4 linked regions of the Schizosaccharomyces pombe genome follow. The protein of the gene in region 1 interacts with the protein of each later gene in a biochemical or structural test. Each region holds a gene or a part of one and is shown on either strand. Other genes may lie near its edges.

Region 1 (4,386 bases):
GACTTAGACTTTTCTTCTAAACCATATAAAAATCTTCGATATCATTCACGTGCTCTTCGCGATGTCTCATATCATCCTTCCCTTCCACTATTTTGCTCTGGCTCTGATGATGGTGATGTTCAAGTGTTCCACGGTCGTGTTTACAGTGACCTTCTGGCTAATCCCTTGATTGTTCCTCTTAAGATTTTGCGGAATCATAAAGTGGTTGATAATGTCGGTGTTTTATCCACATGCTGGCATCCAAAAGAAGCCTGGTTATTCAGTGCAGGTGCTGGTGGAGAAATTCGGATGTGGACTTGAAAAAGGTTTGAAACGTCTTAAATATTTTTGTTTTCTTCACTTGCTTTAAAATTTAGAAAAACTCTACTTTTAAAAATAATGTTTGGTAGTGTTTACTGCAAAAGATACTTTTTCAATGCTGTATTATAGTTTTGCTAACAAGTCGAAAAGATTGTTTTCGTACTTGATTTTGGATATTTAATAGGAATATAGGGGTTTTCGAAAGTTTAAAATGCATTTGTGCAAACTGAATATGTTTTTATTTTTTATTTTTTGGTAAGTTATCTAAAGTATTTAAGTATTACGTGATATCAAAAATCGTAACCGTTGAAATTCAATAGTGCTTTTTATATATCTATAGTTACCTAATCATTAATTGCTTAATTATAAAAATACAGCAAGTTTAAATGCAAGTAAACATGCTGGACTTTGTGGATTAAATGAAATGATTTAAAATCTCCAAGATTTCCAAGACAGCTTTCCTTATAAAGCTAAAATCGATGAAAGAAGTGAAAAAATAACAAAAAAAAAAGAAAAAGAAAGTGATGAGTAAGTCTGAGTTAATCCAAATTAAACTTGACTGATATCGCCTTGCAAGGACGGCAAATAGGGGTATTTTCTATCATAAAATAACCCTCATCTCCAAGTAGGGCATTACAAGCTCCGCAGGTCCAACATTGGCTATGATATTCACCATCAGACCCTTTTACACTGATCCCCAAAATGGGTTTACGGCATTTCTTGCACTTAACAGCATACTTATTATCATAACAAGTCTGACACCAGTATAGGTCGTCACGGTAAATACAGGGTATATTTACATTAAAAACTTCAGAGCAACCAGCGCAAAAATGATGATTTTCATGAAACCAATCATTGTTGATATGGACCGCTTGGTCTTCAATTGGGGTTTTGCAGTGCTTACAGCGAGGACTGAACTGTTCATGATAGTCTAGATGACAATAAAATTTTCCCTCGCGGTAATAAAATCCAACGTGCTCTAAGTTCTGGGAACAAGTATCGCATTTGAAGCATTGAGGGTGTAATTTCTTTCCTGAAGCACTAATTATTCTGCCAGCGCGTAAAGAACCGCCGCAACTATGACAGGATTTTTCAGAATTGCCTCTATAAAGAACTGGTTTTGTAGATGTATGAGAAGATACCATTGAAGGCTTAAGTGAATCTGATTGAAATAAATTATTTGAGGACAAGTTGCTAGGCAATTGTGAAGTGGGGGTGGGCAAAGGATATAAGCTATTAGCAGGAGCAGAATGAAAAGAATGCAAAGCGGGTCTACGATTGGAAAGTTTACTGGATTTCTGTAAAGGAAGAGTAGGAAGTTGTTTGGATGCGAAGGTTTTTTGTCTGTCTTCAATGCAATCATGATCAACAAGCGGCTGTAAACCGGTATGACAATCGTAAACATTTCGTACGTCTGGATAATTAACATGTGAATTCAATTCCTCCGGCGAACTAGGAAACTCATCGTCGTCACTGTATGCAAGAGATGGCAATTCAGGTAAAAGCTCCTTTTTTAAGCTATCGAAAGTAGAAGTAGAAGCAGAGGTTAGTAGTGTTTTTTCCGGCGACGAAACATTAGAACGAGAGAGCTCGTCATCAGGCAGATCAAAACGTACACGATTTTGTTTTATTGTTGGATTCCTCTTGGACAAAGGAGATTCAGGAGTCTTCAAACTTGGTTGCGGTAATGGTGTAGCTATTCGACCTCCAGTAAAGTTAAGTGCTCCATCAGATAACCGAGAACGAACTAAATTGTTTAGCGGGGAGCCATTAGTAGAGACCGGCGAAGAAGGAGCAGCACGAGGACCAGTCAATCGACGTTCAAATCTACAAAAACGAAGTTAGATACCTAATTGGGTAATAACAATAAGACAATAGATTACCTTGGTAATTCTGGAATTGGTGAATGCATTTGCTGATATGCTTCTCAACTATCAGGACACTAATCAACGGAAAGAATTCAGGATCGTTGACAACCTTAAGAAATCAGGATAGCCAAGCTCGCAGGGTATAAATCTAGCCGCAACACTTAAAAACAAGATAAAAAATAGGAAGAGAAGGATAAGGAAGGAAAAACAAAAATCAAGCTGGGATTAACTTATAGAAAATTGTTGCCAACGTAAGGATATATATCTCAAAGAGCGGAGTCCCCCAAAAAAACTAGCTGTATTAAAAAAATGCAATTGTAAGCAAGTAGTTATTATTTAGAAAGCAGTAATATTTGCTTTATCCAAAGTGTTTTAGCTAATAAGTGTTGGCTTTGTTTAAGTGTATATTCCAAAATATAAACAAACATTCGTTGTTATAGAAACCAGCCTCATAATAGGTAACATTGTACCTTTAACGAATACTTAGAGAGTACGTATTCAATGTTTGTATACCAGCAGAAAGTAAAAAAATGCGAATATATTAGTAATTAAAGTGAATTAAGCCATTCCTATGCAGAAAATGTTCCAAACGAAATCAATGTTATTTGTTGGACAATTTTATATGTTGCGATTTCATAATATGGTACAATATCTTTTTATAATTTATTTTTTTTATACTTTGGCAGTAGATTATTGTGGAGCGCGTTATTAATGCTTACTGTATTGTTACAGCTCTTTAAATGTCATTAACTACCCCATTATGCTTTGTCAGGCATACAGCATTTCGCTTATTGTTTCATAAATAGAAACCTAATTTTGGCTTTCAAGCTACAGATTGACCTAAGAAAATTCTTTACCAGTTGTAAGTATAATTGTATAAGAAAAAATATGTAGACCCGTGAGTCTGTTCAGTGTGTAGTTACTTATAAGCGTTGCAATGTGTCGCAAAATGATATTGTATATAAAATTACGATCACACTGTACCACACAAACGTCGTTAAAGGAAAAAACACTTTTTTGACTGTAGATTTGTTAGAAGCAAAAGTGTTTGAGAATAGTTTATGTGCGGAATTCTTTTCGCCTTAGCGGAAGACAGAGATAATCTTCTTGAAAGTCCATCTTTTTCAGCTTTACGAAAAAGGATTCGGGCTAGAGGACCTGATTTTTTTGGTAAGCATAAATTGAATAGCGGACCTTGGAATTTGCACTTTGAGTCAAGCGTTTTGCATTTACGTGGCCCTTCTGATCATTTAACGCCTCAACCTCATGTTGACAGTTTTGGAAACGTTTTGTGTTGGAATGGAGAAATTTGGCAAATAAACCATAGCGATCATCACAAATTTACGCTCAATCGTAATGAAAACGACGGTGCAAAACTTTTTGAACTTTTAAACAATAACCCGGGCGACATTGAAAAAATTTTGGGAAGTATTCAAGGACCTTTTGCTTTTGTTTACTACCAAGTTCGTACAAACACATTGTGGTGGGGAAGAGATCGCTTAGGAAGAAGATCCCTTTTGTATAGTTTACGAGATAGTAATTTCGTTCTCTCAAGTGTAGGAAATTCTAGTGATTTCCGAGAAGTTGAGCCTGGGTTTCATAGTGTGCAGGTGGACTTGATCCCAAAAATTAACTTCTCTAAATCATTAATGCAACTGGAAAAAACAAACCCTCTTCCTCCTGTGGATGAGTCCTTTCTCATGGGCTCAATCTCTTCAGACACTGTGGACACATTGCATACATATCTTATCAAAGCGCTTCAAGATAGAGTTTTAACAATCCCCAAACTGTGCTCTTCAAACCTTGACTGTAGTCATTATAGCCGAGTTTGCGTTCTTTACTCTGGGGGAGTGGATTGCGGTGTATTAGCACGGCTAATGCACGACATAGTTCCCAATAACGAGTCCATCGATTTAATTAATGTGGCTTTTGAAAACCCAAGATTTACAGAGACATACCGTGACAGAGAGACGGGACTTCTTCCTGACAATTTTGATGCATACGACGTATGTCCTGATAGACAAACTGGATTACAAGGCTGGCAGGAGCTTATTTCAGTTTGCCCTGCTCGAAAATGGAATTTTGTTGCTATAAACGTTCCTTATACAGAAGTATGTGAAGCACAGGAAATAGTCAAAACACTTATCTATCCGAACGATTCAGTTATGGATCTTTCTATTGGATTAGCTTTTTATTTTGCTTCACAAGGGCGTGGTGT
Region 2 (3,544 bases), on another chromosome or scaffold:
TCGATGCAACTCCGCTCAAATCATAATTTTCCGCATAACCCTTCGTATACATTGTAAAACGGTGATTAAGCACCTTTAAAAAGAGTGTTTATTTTTGTCAACGAAATCCATCAAGAAGCCAAGGTTTTTCGTACTTTTCATTATCTTTCACATTCTCGGGTTCGCACTTACCTCTTCCTCTTCTTTTTCAACACCAGATTCCACCAAGGGAACTGTCCGCTGAAGTGAAGCTTCTTCATCAAAGTCAGGTATATCACGTTCGAAATAAATCGGCATAACGGTTTTAATACCGACCTTCCGTTGACGATATGCCCTAGCATTTTTGGAGACGGAACTCATGATAATATTGGTATCGTTGGACTCCAATCACTTAAATCTATCCAACCGTAAAATTATAAGATACTCGTCTCACTCAAAATCTTGTAGAAACAGGCGCTAAATCCTGGCGTAGTTGACGGCCGTCGTCGTTGGTGTGTCAAACCACTAGGGGTTAACAAACCGAATGAAATTTTTCATAAACCTCTTCACTGCGATAATTTACCGAGGAGCAACGTAACCAAAAATAATTTTCTAATACGCTCGTACCGTTAATATACAACGTATTGTAGCGATATTTACTGGAGATTCCAGGTGTAAACAATGGAAGAAACCGATGGCAGGAGAAACAAAAGAGGAAATTGTCAACCATCAGTTGAAGTGAAGTCCATAAAACTCCATAGTGAATTATAAGGAATCAAGTTCTATCATAGTTCATCTTATTGACGTCGGAAAACCCTCGTCAATACTCAATAGAAAAAAAGCATTACTAATTCAAAAGAAAAGTCATGATCTGCTAGTATTCGTAGTCTCTAGTAGCAGAAAAAAGCACTTGATTTTTACTTTCAATGCGTGTTATAGACCATGAATAGGCATTTCTGTTAGAATAATAAACTGTTCGCAGCAGAGCCAGGTGGAACATAGAAGTAAACAGCGGAATAAATTCTACATTTTTTTCCACTAACGAAGATGTTTTCCGTATCTCATCAATTATCTATGCCAACTGCGCATAGTATAGGGTGAGAAAAATGAATGTCTTTTTCAAAACGAAGCAAGTTGTAGACAAACATTTTCAACGTTCCACATTTGCTTTTTCCAGAAACCAAGCCCTTTTCAGGAAGATTAAAATTTGATTTAAAAACATGAATTGCAATCTTTCAAATATTCGAAAGTCCTTTCAAATACTTACCAAACATGTCGAAAAATTGCTCATTCTCAGATTTTGCTTCCTTCATAATCTTAAGCTCATATGGTAAAGCTTAATCAGCATAAAACTGCTAAAGCAGTTTAAAAAAAATTTGGTCATCAGAAAGAATAAAGGTTAAAGGTATTTAGTTTTGAAAAATTACAAAACCTCGCCTTTAAAAATCCAAGATGCAGAAACAGCCATCTCCAAAGCAATTATGAATTGCTCTAAACCTCAATTCTTTGTCGTTTTTAAGCCGGATTTTCGTTTGATGCATCCTTTCTAAAAATGAAAAGCTGCCATTGCAGTTGAATTTTCAATTACAAGCTTACAGATAATTTTCATAGCTATTTTTTTGCACAACCCAACATGTTTTCAAGTCATTTTTTGAAATTTACGGATTCCACGATTATCTTTGAGATTGGTGGAAGACAAAGTGTGCCAAGTGACATTCGACCCTTACATTCAGAAGGATTTTGACTCAAACTACCACCACCGATATAAGGAATTTTCTTTGAAAGGTAGCTGACCGTTATATTCTTGGTTTGTTAATTGAACCTTACTCATTTCATATTATTGTGTTTCCCTCTCATGGGTCAGTCGCAGTCGCAAATCTTTGAGGACTTGATCTCAAATTCATCCTGTAAGTTTGATGCTTAGTACGTGTGGCCAAAAGTGTTCTTATCATTATATTTTTTCATGTTAGAATACTTACATCTCTTGTCGTCTATTTCTTTTTAAGATTATAGCCAATTCATCAAAGTTGCCGGTTTCACATGCACAATGCAAAAGTATTAGCACCTCAAAGCGACTCGGCTAACGTTCATTGTATCTAGTTTCCAATGAGGAGATAGAAAGAATTCGCAAGCGTTTTATTAAAATAGATGCTAACCAATCTGGCTCTATTGACCGAAACGAATTTTTGTCGATTCCCAGTGTAGCTTCTAACCCACTTGCTTCCAGACTGTTTTCAGTTGTAGACGAAGACGGTGGAGGAGATGTGGACTTTCAAGAATTTATTAATAGCCTTTCTGTATTTTCAGTGCATGGCAATAAAGAGGAAAAGCTGAAGTGTAAGCTCAATCAACTTGTCGTTCCTTTGCAAATTATGTTCTAACATTATTGTTTTATCTAGTTGCCTTCAAGATTTATGATATTGACCGTGATGGTTATATTTCAAACGGAGAACTTTATCTAGTTCTGAAAATGATGGTTGGCACGAATCTTCGGGAAGATCAATTGCAGCAGGTATGTTATAGACAAAACCTCTTATCTCAAAATCTGACTCCTATTATAACTAGATTGTTGACAAAACCATTATGGAAGTTGATAAGGATCGCGATGGAAAAATTAGCTTTGAAGAGTTCAAAGATATTGTCAGCGGTTCCAACGTTACTAGTAGCATGACACTCGATTCTTTTTGATGAGCATACTTAAAATTAAAACTGATCCTTGTTTCCTCCCTTCTTTCGTTTTGTCGAACGCAATTACGAGTTTGACTAAAGATTCCTTTTACACATTTTGTTTTATCGTCTTCATTCCTTGCATCTGTATTTCGAATTTTATAAATGCATACTATTACATTTCTTTTCCTACTTGCTATTTTTACAATGCTTAATCTACCAAAAAAAGTTTGTATGAATTGCGTATCGAATTTTTACTATAACCTGTCATACAAAAATCTTGAACACATAACTTAGATTATTATGCTTCTTTAGCAATACTATAATTCTCAGTCAAAGTTGTTTACAGAATAGAGTAAACGTCTTAAATATTTACAAATTCAAGGCGTTGTAAAGTATAAACATTGAACAGATGTTCACTTACAACAGTAAGAAACCCATTTTAAAAATACTACGTTGAAAAATTGATGATGAGATCGAACAATAAAGATCATTTACAAAGACGATACAGTATGCATTTTAAATAATAAATAATTAATTATTTTCATATATAGTTTTTAAAGTCATTAGATTAAGAACTTTCATTTGAGCTCTTCTCATCGATAAGCGATTTTAAATCGCCAAGACATTACCAAATAATTACAATAGCATGCAACTCAACGGCAATTTCGTTGCAAATGCATCAACTGCATTATCTTTGTTAACGTAAAGAAAAAGGTTAGGAATGGATTAGAAGGAACCTCAAAGACTTAAAAAAAGAGGAATGAAATCTTGGCTCTGTGTCCCCAAGATCCTTTTCCAAATTCCGGCATATCTAAACAATGTCAGGAATCATAAAACCCAAAATATATGTTGTCATCCTAACAAGTCAACTATAAAAGAATTGAAAGAAGGTCATAAATGCAATGAGGGCATAGAT
Region 3 (5,838 bases), on another chromosome or scaffold:
TACATATCATTATTCATTCATTCATTCAATTTGCACATCGTGTCATGATAATACGAACATGAGATAGATCTTGCTAACAATACAATAAAATATAAGCTATTAAGAATAATACACGATAAATAGATCCTCGTTCTTCAGTTCTTTCTCAGCGACAAATTACAACAGTACCTACATATAACAATATATATAGCAACTGTTACCTCTATTATTCAAAAGTATCATAGAATAAACAGCTCATAAGCGAAACTCACCGCAGTTCATTGTATCGTTAAAGCAAATAACAAAATCTGTAGCTTTTTCACTAAGTAGGTATGTAAATATAAAGGCACGCATGTGTTTTTGCAAAATCAGGGTCTTATGTCTTTTTATACCTCAATCAATAATCTTATCTGTTCAGGCTAGCGAGACTTCTTTTCAATCAGATCATTTTATAAGCATCTATTCATATCTCCTAACACTCATGTTTACAAGCTAGTTGATGCACACTGTATCTATAGCCAAACAAAAAATCTGGGTTTGCACTCTTCAAACATACCTTATCCACAAATGCATTTTCTGGTAATTATCGGTCGGCTTCTTTTTAAAAAGTAAAGCTCAGAATCCTACATCTGCGGATATCATATTTTTGAGCAGGCAAATTCATCATCGTGTTATATTTTTGGTTTATTCAACTTTATCCTCTAGTTACTGATAAAAATTAGCAATTTAGCTATATCTTGTCAAAGCTACATACCAAATCGTACCTTGATTTTAATTTACTAAAATCGGTTTTGAAATTGATGTAAAAATCATATGAAACTTTGAAATGCACGAAATCTTCAAAAACAATTAGTGTTATTCTTACGTCTTACAATAGCCAAAGGACAAAGGAGTCAAACATTGTTAATAAAATAAAATAAAATATATTCCAATCAACTAGATTCTATGTGTATTTCCTTTAAAACAGAAATCTTTAGATATCAAAATAAATGCGTATAAATACCTATGCAATGCAACGAAGCTTAGACCATGACGAGAAATGAATTTAAAAAAAAAAAGCATGTCGTTTCGCGTTAAGTCATCAAAAAAAAAATAAGGAATTACGGATTAGTAAGAGATAGTAACCACGCGAAAAAGAATGCAAGTGTAAACATCTAGAAAAGAGGGTAATCAGTGTCTATACCGTCTGAACAAAGTTCGACGGGAATAAACCACGTTTTGAATTTGGAACATTAATAATTTCACCATCCCACCATCCATCTTCTTGTGTGCGAAGAACCATTAATGTATCGCCCTTTTGGAAGCTAATTTCTTCAGGTATTTGAGCTTGATAATCATAAAGTGCGATAACTGAATTATAATTAGTAAAATTAAAAATTTTTAAAGTTTCTCTTTAATGAACTTACCATATCCTAAAATTGGCTCTCCTTCAGCCGTAAAAGTAGCTCGTGGATCGACATTCTTTGATTGAACGCTATTTCTATTAGTCGGCTCTGGTGACCGTGCGCGACTGGTGGATCTTTGGGAAACTTGCCTCATGGACCTTCCACTCATAGACCCATATCTGTGACCCATTTCTGAACTTGGTCTCGATCCACTATAACCACCATTGTTTCGGTTTGATGTGTTAGATGAAGTAGATTTCTGTGACTGTAAGACTGATGACGATCTACGATTAGGGCCTAACGGATTGGGAGAAACAGAACGTTGCATAGACAACTGAGGTTGAGATTTGTTGTACTCACCATACAACGACATAGATGAAGATGGCCTTTGTTGACCAGACACTGATTGCCCACGAGCCCTTGTAGAAGGTGCTGGCGAAACGACATCAGATTGGCGTACACTAAGAGAAGATGCAGACCTCTCAAAGCTTGGGCGCAAGGTGGAGCTTCTTCTCGATAACATTGGAGAAGGAGATCTACTCATATTGCTTCGACTATGACGAAGGGATTCTCTAGCTGAATTTTCGGTTCGTTGCTCTCCGAACACCTGCTTTGTTTGGGAAGCAAAACTATTACTCATGCGTTGCATTTGAGCAGAAGTGTGTGCGGCTGGAGGAGCTCCTAAGGTACTCTTTTTGGGAACGCCATCTATATCACTAGCTATAGAAGTATTTCGAGAGTGATAGCCCAAGCCATTTAATCTTGTAGAAGAAGACGTCTTACTAAGAGAAACAGGCGCTTCATCGTCAACTGATGTCGATTGGCGTCTTCTCATTGACGAACTTAATTCAGCCATTGCATTAGCGATGGGATCGGGTACATCTTTGTCTTCTTCTTTGGATGTGGATTCCACTGGTGCCTCTCCAACAGAAAGCATGTTGGGTCCAACGTTTAAAACAACGTTAGCTCTGGGGTCAATATCTTCTAACTCATCAGACTGGACAGACGCGCCTGTGGCATGTTGATTGCTAGCAAATCCTTCTTTAGTAGGTGAGGTACTTCGGCTACCCATATTAGAGAAACTAGAACCCATGAAGGGAGAAGTGGGTCTCCCCATACGCTCCATTATTGATTTTCGTTTGATAGATCCCAAACTAGTTTGAGACCCGTGTCCATGTCGAGAGAAAGACAACCTAGATGACCGACTTCCGGTAGCAGTAGGTTGAAGTTGACTACTCAAAATAATATCATCATTATCTTTCGTGATAGCATTCTCACTATTTTTACCTTCCTTAACTTCGGGTGATATATCTGTTGCAGCGGGTATAGCCTGTACCTCAGTCTCGGCATTATGAGAGGATCTAACATCCATTGAAGTCAAAGGACGAGCAGCTACTTCAAAAGTTGGTGATGTTACAGAAGGTCGACGCATTGAGCTCCCTGTAAGTACTGGTTTCTGGGATTCAGCTTCTTGTATAGAAGGAACGGGAATAGAAAGTTCAACCTCTGTAACTTGTTCAACTTGTTCATTAGACACTGGCTTAACTGGTGAATGCAATGGTGAAGTAGGTGGTGATGATACAACTTCCGATGAAACTGTTTCACTAGTTTTGGGGCGAAAAGCGCTACGTGTTGGCGAACTTGCCAAAGATGCAGAAGCTGAGGGACGCGAAGAGGAGTATGGATAAGAAGGAGCTTTAGAAATGAGCTGGTCGATGTCATAATTTAATCCGTTTTCTTTGAAATAGTCATTAAACTCGGGTAAAGGGGGAATTGTAGTTCCGGTACCTTCGTTTTGAATCATTTGAGTAATATCTTCATCAATGTTAGTGTTTTCGAGTGTGAGTCGAATCTTTTCACAAGATTCATCATCTTTTACACAAGCAGTAGATATTATATTTGCATAGGCCCACATGTTTGTTTTGAGAAACTCTAAACGATATTCCTCAATATGTTGAAAAGCATCACAGACCTCTGTCCAACGATCAATCCATTCCCGAGTAACTGTAAGAAGTAATTCGTTTGTTTCTCTGTATTCCGCATCCATTTTTTTTACTGCTAGCGCTGCTTGACGGATTTTTAAATTGTATTTGTCTAATTCACGACCAGTCATCTTTTTTGTCTGTCTCATGTAGCTATTCAGCTTGTTACAACTGTACTCGTAGGCATCCTTCTTCTCGGATAAGTCTATTTCGAGAGCCGTTTTTTTCTGATATAATTCCTCAATGGCATTGGCTGCAACAACTTTCTGTTGCTCCGTCTGATCAATGTACTCGCGAATTTTATTTCGCAATTCGGTATTTATCTGTTGTGAGACTTCTTCATGCGCTTTGGCCATACTCCCTGTTTCAGTTCTCATAGATAAAATATTATTTAAAGTTGATCCAACTTCTGGGATGTCTGCTGAGCTGGCAGCTAACTCTTGCAGTTTAGATGCGTACTCACGCTCAATAGAAGCACTAATTTAGTTAGTCAGACTTTAATCAATAATCATACCGAACCCTTCGGTTCATTACACAAGCTATCTTAAGAATCCACGATTATCTGTAAAACATCTTAAATGACAATGAAACGACCAAAAACATATTTCTTGAATCATCGTAGCGCTTAAGGTAGAGCTGCAACTTCCAAACGAGGCAACCATACTTACCGCTTTGCGTAAAATTCATCAATTGATTCTAATACGGAAAGAGAAGATTTTGTTCGGGACATAAGAGCATCCATACCCGCATCTTCAGATCCCTGCAACGATTTTGTTAACATAACTTTGCTTTACTAAATACAGCAAATTTACACATACCCAGAAATTATCGCGGAACTTAACAGAAGATTTGGTAACGTACGGAGCCGCTTCAGATTGAGAGACTCCATTAACCTCCATTTTGTTATTGAAAGAACAAAATGCAGCAAAATTTGTGATTTGTTGTTGGTAAATTCCTGGTAGTCGATTTCAGGAAAAGAGTAAACATGTTTGTTTACTGCGACTACTGCGGTGACAACCGTCCCTAGCAACCGTTGCCTATCTGAGTGCACAATAAGCAACTGCAAATTAACTCTATCCTTAAATTTTGTTAAAAAAGTTTACGAAAGATACAGTCTCGTTAAATTTAATGTTCGATCCTTTCTTAGACTGCCTGGCAGTGAGGAGGACCGACATATCTTTTGCAAAACACCACTGCACCTATTTTCATTCAAACTTGCTAGCAGATACTGCTGCATCTCATCTGTAAATATTCAAAGAATATATCAGCTGAAAATAGCATAGGAGTATAATAATAGCCTCACAAAGGCATGGTAATAGAAAAGCGTTAAAAATATGAAGAGCCAAGAACAACAAACGCCGGAGACACGAGAGAAATCTAGTTCAACTTCTGAATCTGGGCATCCTATATCACTAGATTCTAAGACCCCTCCACCAAACGATTCAAAAATTGAAAGTATTGTTAAAGCACAAATCCTTTTCTTATTGTCGACCTTACGGGAAGACCAATATGATACGAAACTTGAACAGATTCGTCAACTTATCAACAAAAATGCACCCAGAGTATACCACCATTTTCTTCGCCGTCTAATTCAAGGAAATTCATACCGTATTTTTGGTACCGGTAAATCTTCTGATGGACTAGCTACTTATAAATTACTACTAGATGAATTAAAATCTCTCACGAAGTCTTGGGTCATGGCGAAACGTTTTAGTGATGCTATTTCAGGTTCTGATTCTGAAGTATTTGAAGATTTCGATATAGAGGCATTTTTAGACCATTTCCAATTCTCCCCGTTAGAAAGGACTAACCTTTTAATTGGACTTACCACTTCTGTTAAACCTACTTTAGCAAAGAAAGCTTCTGCTTTGCTTAAAAACACATTCCAATCTCTTTTAAACCAACTATCCGATCCTACTCAGCAACAAAGTATTGATAAAAACGATTTGGATTTGCTCAGGGAAGGTTTGTTTACCACCGACTATGACAGAATACCCTTGATTAAAGTTCCAAAGTTTGATGCTATAATTGAGAAAAAGTTGGCGAATTCACGCCCTCTTACAGCTTTGTTTGGTCCGATGAAAGCTTCCAAAGCTACACTTAAGTCTATGAAAGAAGCAATTCTTAAAAAATATCCCCCGGGAACGGCTACTGAGACTGATGTTGCTTATCTTATAAATTCACTTGTAGCTATACATGATTATGGTGCTTGGGACACTGTTTTGATGGGTAAAGCTATCGTTTCCTCTTTTGAAAACCTAAATTGGGAAGCTATGCTTTCTATGTTCGATAATCCTAAATTTATGATAACGGGTACACCTAGTCTTGTACTGTTCTTCACAATCTTTACAAATGCTTACAAGTTAAGGCAAACTAATTTTACGTTGGACTTTCTCTGGGTTCTTTGGAGAAATCCTTTACCGCAACTTTCCATCATTTCTCATATTATCCTATCCCCAACATCGATGTTTGATATAAGAGAGTTCAATGTC
Region 4 (4,663 bases), 160 kb from region 1:
CATCCTTGGCAGTTATGTAGCTGATGAATCGGGTGTTAGAGACTTATGTAGTACCTCTGATAAAAAAGCAGTGCTTGATGCTTTTCAATTTGAGCCAATTGGGTTCTCGTCGAATATGATTTACAAGGACCGCTATGCCACAATCCATGTTACGCCTCAAGAACATTGTTCTTATGCTTCATTTGAAACAAATGTTTCGCAATTCCAATTCGGAAGATCCATATCTGAAACAATCGAAAAAACTGTTAAAACTTTTGGTGCAAACAAATTTTGTCTTACCCTTTTCCAGGCTAAAGGTGCGTCTCAAGAGAAGCATTTCTCGGCCAAACTTAAATCTTTTAGCTCTTATAAGCGTGAAGAATTTATAGTGTATGACTTTCCTGGATATGATCTTATATTTGCCAGCTTTACTGCAGTATAAGTTCGGAGAACAGTCAGCTAGATATTTTAAATTATCTGTTGCTATATTTATTATCATTCTTTTTTACGGTGGAGCGTGCCATGCGAATACCCCTTTTTACAATCTTTCATTATGCAAAAAGTAGTCGTCTTTTGTTTGCTTGTTTTATAAAAGGTTTCATAGTTATGAATACCAAAAAGTTTATTATGAATATCTAAATGCAATGCTTATGTATCTAGTCATCGGTTATCTTGTATTATGCTAAAGTAAACTCATTTGCTTTCTTTATTTTGAGTGTTTAGATATTTGTTGTAAGTATGCTTAAAACCTCGGATCAGGTTTATGCTCATTGAAAAATTCCAACTAAAAAACGAATATGCGCAGGTTTTGGTATCTACAAAGAGCTTTTCTTATCTGCAAAGCGTTCTACCAAATGATCGATAGAGGTATCATCTTCAGACGAATTCATTACTTCTTCGAAAGCCTTTAAATCCGTAGAACGTCGACGGCTATTAGATGGCGGTAAACGTTCATTTTGGATATCCAGCTTACGAGCATCATCGAAGGAATTGATAGCATTTTTGATACCCTCAGCTCCCAACATTAAAGTACCCGCAGGTAATCTTTGCGTACCTGACACGTTTTTCAGTTCCGAAACACTTTCCCGTTCTTCTCTAAGCACACTGAATACTCGAGAGATACGGCCAATAGCCATAATCTTGTTTTTAATAATTTGCCTACGAGCTTCAATATCAATTTCTTGGTCGGCTTTATTTTCATTCTCAGATGGAGCAGGCTGTTTATGCTGAGTCGGAGCCGATTCTTTCAAATCCGTTTCATAAAGCTCCTCCTTAGAACATATATTGAGCATTGAAATCAACATTTCAGAAACTTTTTCGCCCACAAATGGAAGACTCCAAGTAAAAACATCCATAAAGTTAGGAAGCCAGTAAGGATGAGGGGAACAATTAAATTGTCTTATATTCATTACATTATTTTCGTATTTCAAAACAGCAGCTTTATTATTGTAAACATCCAAATAGTTGGGTGCTGAAAATATGGTCATCAAAGATGGAAACCCGGTTGTTTTAGTTTTGCGATACATTCGATAGCCCACATCTTGAGCTTCATGAGCACGAATAACGGAGAGGAGATTATTGTTTTCTAAGAAGGTGCAAACAGCTTGGTAACTATAAAAGTAAGAACAGCCACGAACATTATTATGAATAAAATGCTTGTTTGATTTTTCCGATCCAAAATCTTCAAGGGGATCAGACCAGAGTAAATCACACATCAACCCATGAGTTGGAGGCTCACAAAAACGATTGATCATTCGTATATCATTCAAAGTATGTAGTTCGGGTGATAATCCACCATGTACACATAAAAATTGCTTATTCATAATAGCTGCCAAAGGAAGGGCATTAAAAGATTGTAAACAAGCTTCATAAACTTTAATATTATACTTATGAGTACATTCTAACTTGAAGGTAAAATAGTCAGTAAGATGAGCGCATTCGTGATTGCCACGAAGCAACCAAAGCGTTTTCGGATACCATATTTTCAAAGCCCACAAGTACAATAAACACTCAATTGAGAAATATCCTCGATCCACGTAATCTCCAAGGAAAAGATATTGGGTATTTGCTGGATTACCTCCAACTTCAAATAGTTTCATAAGATCATAATATTGGCCGTGAATGTCACCGCATACTAAGCTGTCAGACCGAAGAATATTGCAATACAAACAAAATATCGACCCAAATTAAAATGAAGGAAAAACATAGTCATAAATTACATTTCAAAGTTCTAATATTTTACCTTATAGTAATTAGGGCCTAAATATGAAAGGTGATAATCAACATACCAGTGACAGGTGCATCCACCTCAATCAAGTTGTCTTCTGACTTCAAAATTTCTGTAGCCTTTTTTATAATATACAACGTTTGTTCCTCAGATAAACGGCCTTCCCGAATGAAATGATTGCGAAGAAAATGCAAGTCAGGTTTATCAGGTTCATTAATATCAAAAAACTCCACGTCCGTCGGAATATAAGTTGCTGGTGCTTGAACATCTTTGATTGTTAATAAGACTAATTTCTTTCAAAAATATCCGTACTTTTCACTACTCTATCCAGTGTGCTAACACTAGAGCCATCTTCTTGAACAAATATTGTAAAATCATGAGAAGGAGCTTGATTTTTTTGGCGAATTGCTCGAACTATTGGGTCTTCTAAATTATGAGGACCCGAAGTCATATTAGTAACTTTTGCAAGCCTATATACAGCCTGGGTAAAATGCTAGATATTCTTGCAAAAAGTTTTGGTAGATTCTGGTTTGTTATACTTACATCGTCCCGGCGGTTTTGGAAAATGGTTTAACGAAAAGCAAAGAAATTCGTAATTGCTTTTCTCAATGAACCATGTGAACAAAAAACATATCTGTTTACAATTCTAAGTACTTTTTTTTTTTTTTATAATATAGATATATTTCATCATAATCTTTACTTCTGTATATTTAAAAATTTACAAACAATCGCCGCTTAGACAAACATATCTTAATAACCAATCGTGTTAGTAATAAGAAATGAACTTGTAGAAAGGGAACCCAAATACTACCTGAATTCCTTCCTAATTATATTGCCTTGCTCATTTTTGAGAGAAGCAAACTAAGTTGATTTGATGAAACTTACATTCCATGATTACCTAACTGAAATAACGATAGTTTTATTGATAAAATAAATATCCATAAAACACTTTAAGAGTTAATAATCATTTTATTTTTTGTTTAGACGGCTACGTCAAATTTTAGGTTATTGTAAATATTCTTTGATTTCTCATCGCTTTCCGTAGTAAAGAATTAGACAAAAGCGATTTTTAGAAAGAATAAGCAAAATAAATGTAAATTTGGGTATTTTATTAGAAGTAAAGGAAATAGAAAAGAGTGTTGCAAGTGTGAAGATATATGCAAAAACTAAAACATATGTAAAATTATGGGATAAAGCCAAAGGAAAGAAATGAATAATGCAACAAATGTAAAAAATTAACCATATCTTACAAACTTTTATGCTCTCAATAGGACATTGGAACACTTCTAAGAAAGAGAATTCCAAAGCACACAAAAAAGCTTAATCTTTCTTCTCGGTGGGTTTGGTAACAGAAGAGGACTTGTCATTTTGAGAATTATCAGATAGCGTAGTAGCTTTGGTAATTGTACTATTATTAGTAGGTTTTTGCTCATTGTTTGTATCGGTTTTAAGGAAACGTGTAGCATCTAGTATTTCAGAGGCTTGTGGGTATTTACCTTTTTCTTGAACCCCATGGACAATATCGGTAAATGACTTAACAAACGATTCATTTTGAGCGTTCGGTACTGGCATAGCAGATGGGACTTCTGGTAAGCCAAGTTTATGCCTTATGGTGGATGAACGCAAAAATGCCCCTTGAAATACACTGAAGACATTGCTAGGAAACCAATACATAAAAATTGCCATAGGAAAATTCATAGTGAATAGTGGACTGGCAAGGCAAAGAAATCTAAAAAATTTTTTCATTGAGGGAGACATAGCAACCTTATTACTTCCAGTTTCGCTACCAAGCTCTATATTGAGCAGCATAAGAAGGCCGTTTGCAACCGGAAATATGTGTAGAGGATCAGGCTGGGATAAATCATTAACCCACCAAAAACCACCATCAGTGAAACCCTCTACAGGTACACCCGCCATTGTCTTCAACGCGTAAAAAAAGCTAATAAACAGAATTCCCTGAAATACAGGAGCAGAAAGCAAATTCAAAGGGTTAACATTGTTAACTTTATAAAGGTTTTGGATTTGAGTGGTAGCTTGCATCATTAATTCGCTGTTTCCTTCAGCCTTTGCTTTACTCAACACACTCATGTGTTCAGCAACCTTTGGGTTAATGATAGCGAGCTTTGCGGACGTTTTCATCATCTTTAACATAATAGGAAATACTGCAATTCTCATAGCAACAGCACATGCAGCAATTGAAGCCCACCAAGGAAGGCCGCTCCAAATATGAAGCGTATTAAGGCCGTTTTGGAGGATATTATGAGGTAAGAAAGAAAAAGATGCTAAGACGGAGGACGACAATGGCAGACTAGGAGTGTAAACCACTTTCTCGGACCTAGATTTGGGGAAAGAAGTCGAAGAGTTGTGAATTTTTATTAAGGAAGAAGTACGCTGATTTCGGCCAAGCTTAGCAAAAGAGAAATTCTTAAAAAATGTATTATGTGTGTGGATCTGGCG

Evidence for each region.
Region 2: the proteins of pxl1 (region 1) and cnb1 form a complex in vitro, tested with the Schizosaccharomyces pombe proteins (one study listed by BioGRID).
Region 3: the proteins of pxl1 (region 1) and cdc15 form a complex in vitro, tested with the Schizosaccharomyces pombe proteins (4 studies listed by BioGRID, with this or other methods).
Region 4: the proteins of pxl1 (region 1) and ppb1 form a complex in vitro, tested with the Schizosaccharomyces pombe proteins (one study listed by BioGRID).

What each region holds. Positions count from the first base shown.
Region 1 is NC_003423.3:2,710,338-2,714,723, reverse strand, and holds pxl1 (paxillin-like protein Pxl1), read right to left. Parts: upstream 2,557-4,386; 5' UTR 2,213-2,556; coding exon 2,184-2,212; intron 2,128-2,183; coding exon 840-2,127; 3' UTR 517-839; downstream 1-516. Other genes in the region: erb1 (WD repeat/BOP1NT protein), read left to right, coding at 1-300; asn2 (asparagine synthase), read left to right, coding at 3,230-4,386.
Region 2 is NC_003421.2:2,190,391-2,193,934, forward strand, and holds cnb1 (calcineurin regulatory subunit B), read left to right. Parts: upstream 1-1,700; 5' UTR 1,701-1,813; coding exon 1,814-1,865; exon of another isoform or gene 1,866-2,058; coding exon 2,059-2,295; exon of another isoform or gene 2,296-2,356; intron 2,357-2,357; coding exon 2,358-2,470; intron 2,471-2,523; coding exon 2,524-2,646; 3' UTR 2,647-2,988; downstream 2,989-3,544. Other genes in the region: NuA4 histone acetyltransferase core complex-Piccolo HAT module linker protein Epl1, read right to left, coding at 172-339. UniProt on the Schizosaccharomyces pombe protein: Regulatory subunit of calcineurin, a calcium-dependent, calmodulin stimulated protein phosphatase. Confers calcium sensitivity.
Region 3 is NC_003424.3:1,398,642-1,404,479, forward strand, and holds cdc15 (F-BAR domain protein Cdc15), read right to left. Parts: upstream 4,296-5,838; 5' UTR 4,246-4,295; coding exon 4,165-4,245; intron 4,107-4,164; coding exon 4,015-4,106; intron 3,839-4,014; exon of another isoform or gene 3,824-3,838; coding exon 1,386-3,823; exon of another isoform or gene 1,375-1,385; intron 1,330-1,374; coding exon 1,157-1,329; 3' UTR 559-1,156; downstream 1-558. Other genes in the region: CCR4-Not complex subunit Not1, read left to right, coding at 4,681-5,838. UniProt on the Schizosaccharomyces pombe protein: After the onset of mitosis, forms a ring-like structure which colocalizes with the medial actin ring. Appears to mediate cytoskeletal rearrangements required for cytokinesis. Essential for viability.
Region 4 is NC_003423.3:2,871,991-2,876,653, reverse strand, and holds ppb1 (calcium-dependent serine/threonine protein phosphatase calcineurin catalytic subunit Ppb1), read right to left. Parts: upstream 2,733-4,663; 5' UTR 2,658-2,732; coding exon 2,519-2,657; exon of another isoform or gene 2,475-2,518; coding exon 2,268-2,474; exon of another isoform or gene 2,114-2,267; coding exon 795-2,113; 3' UTR 545-794; downstream 1-544. Other genes in the region: S-adenosylmethionine decarboxylase proenzyme Spe2, read left to right, coding at 1-421; oxa102 (translocase Oxa101), read right to left, coding at 3,527-4,663. UniProt on the Schizosaccharomyces pombe protein: Calcium-dependent, calmodulin-stimulated protein phosphatase. This subunit may have a role in the calmodulin activation of calcineurin. Appears to be involved in cytokinesis, mating, transport, nuclear and spindle pole body positioning, and cell shape.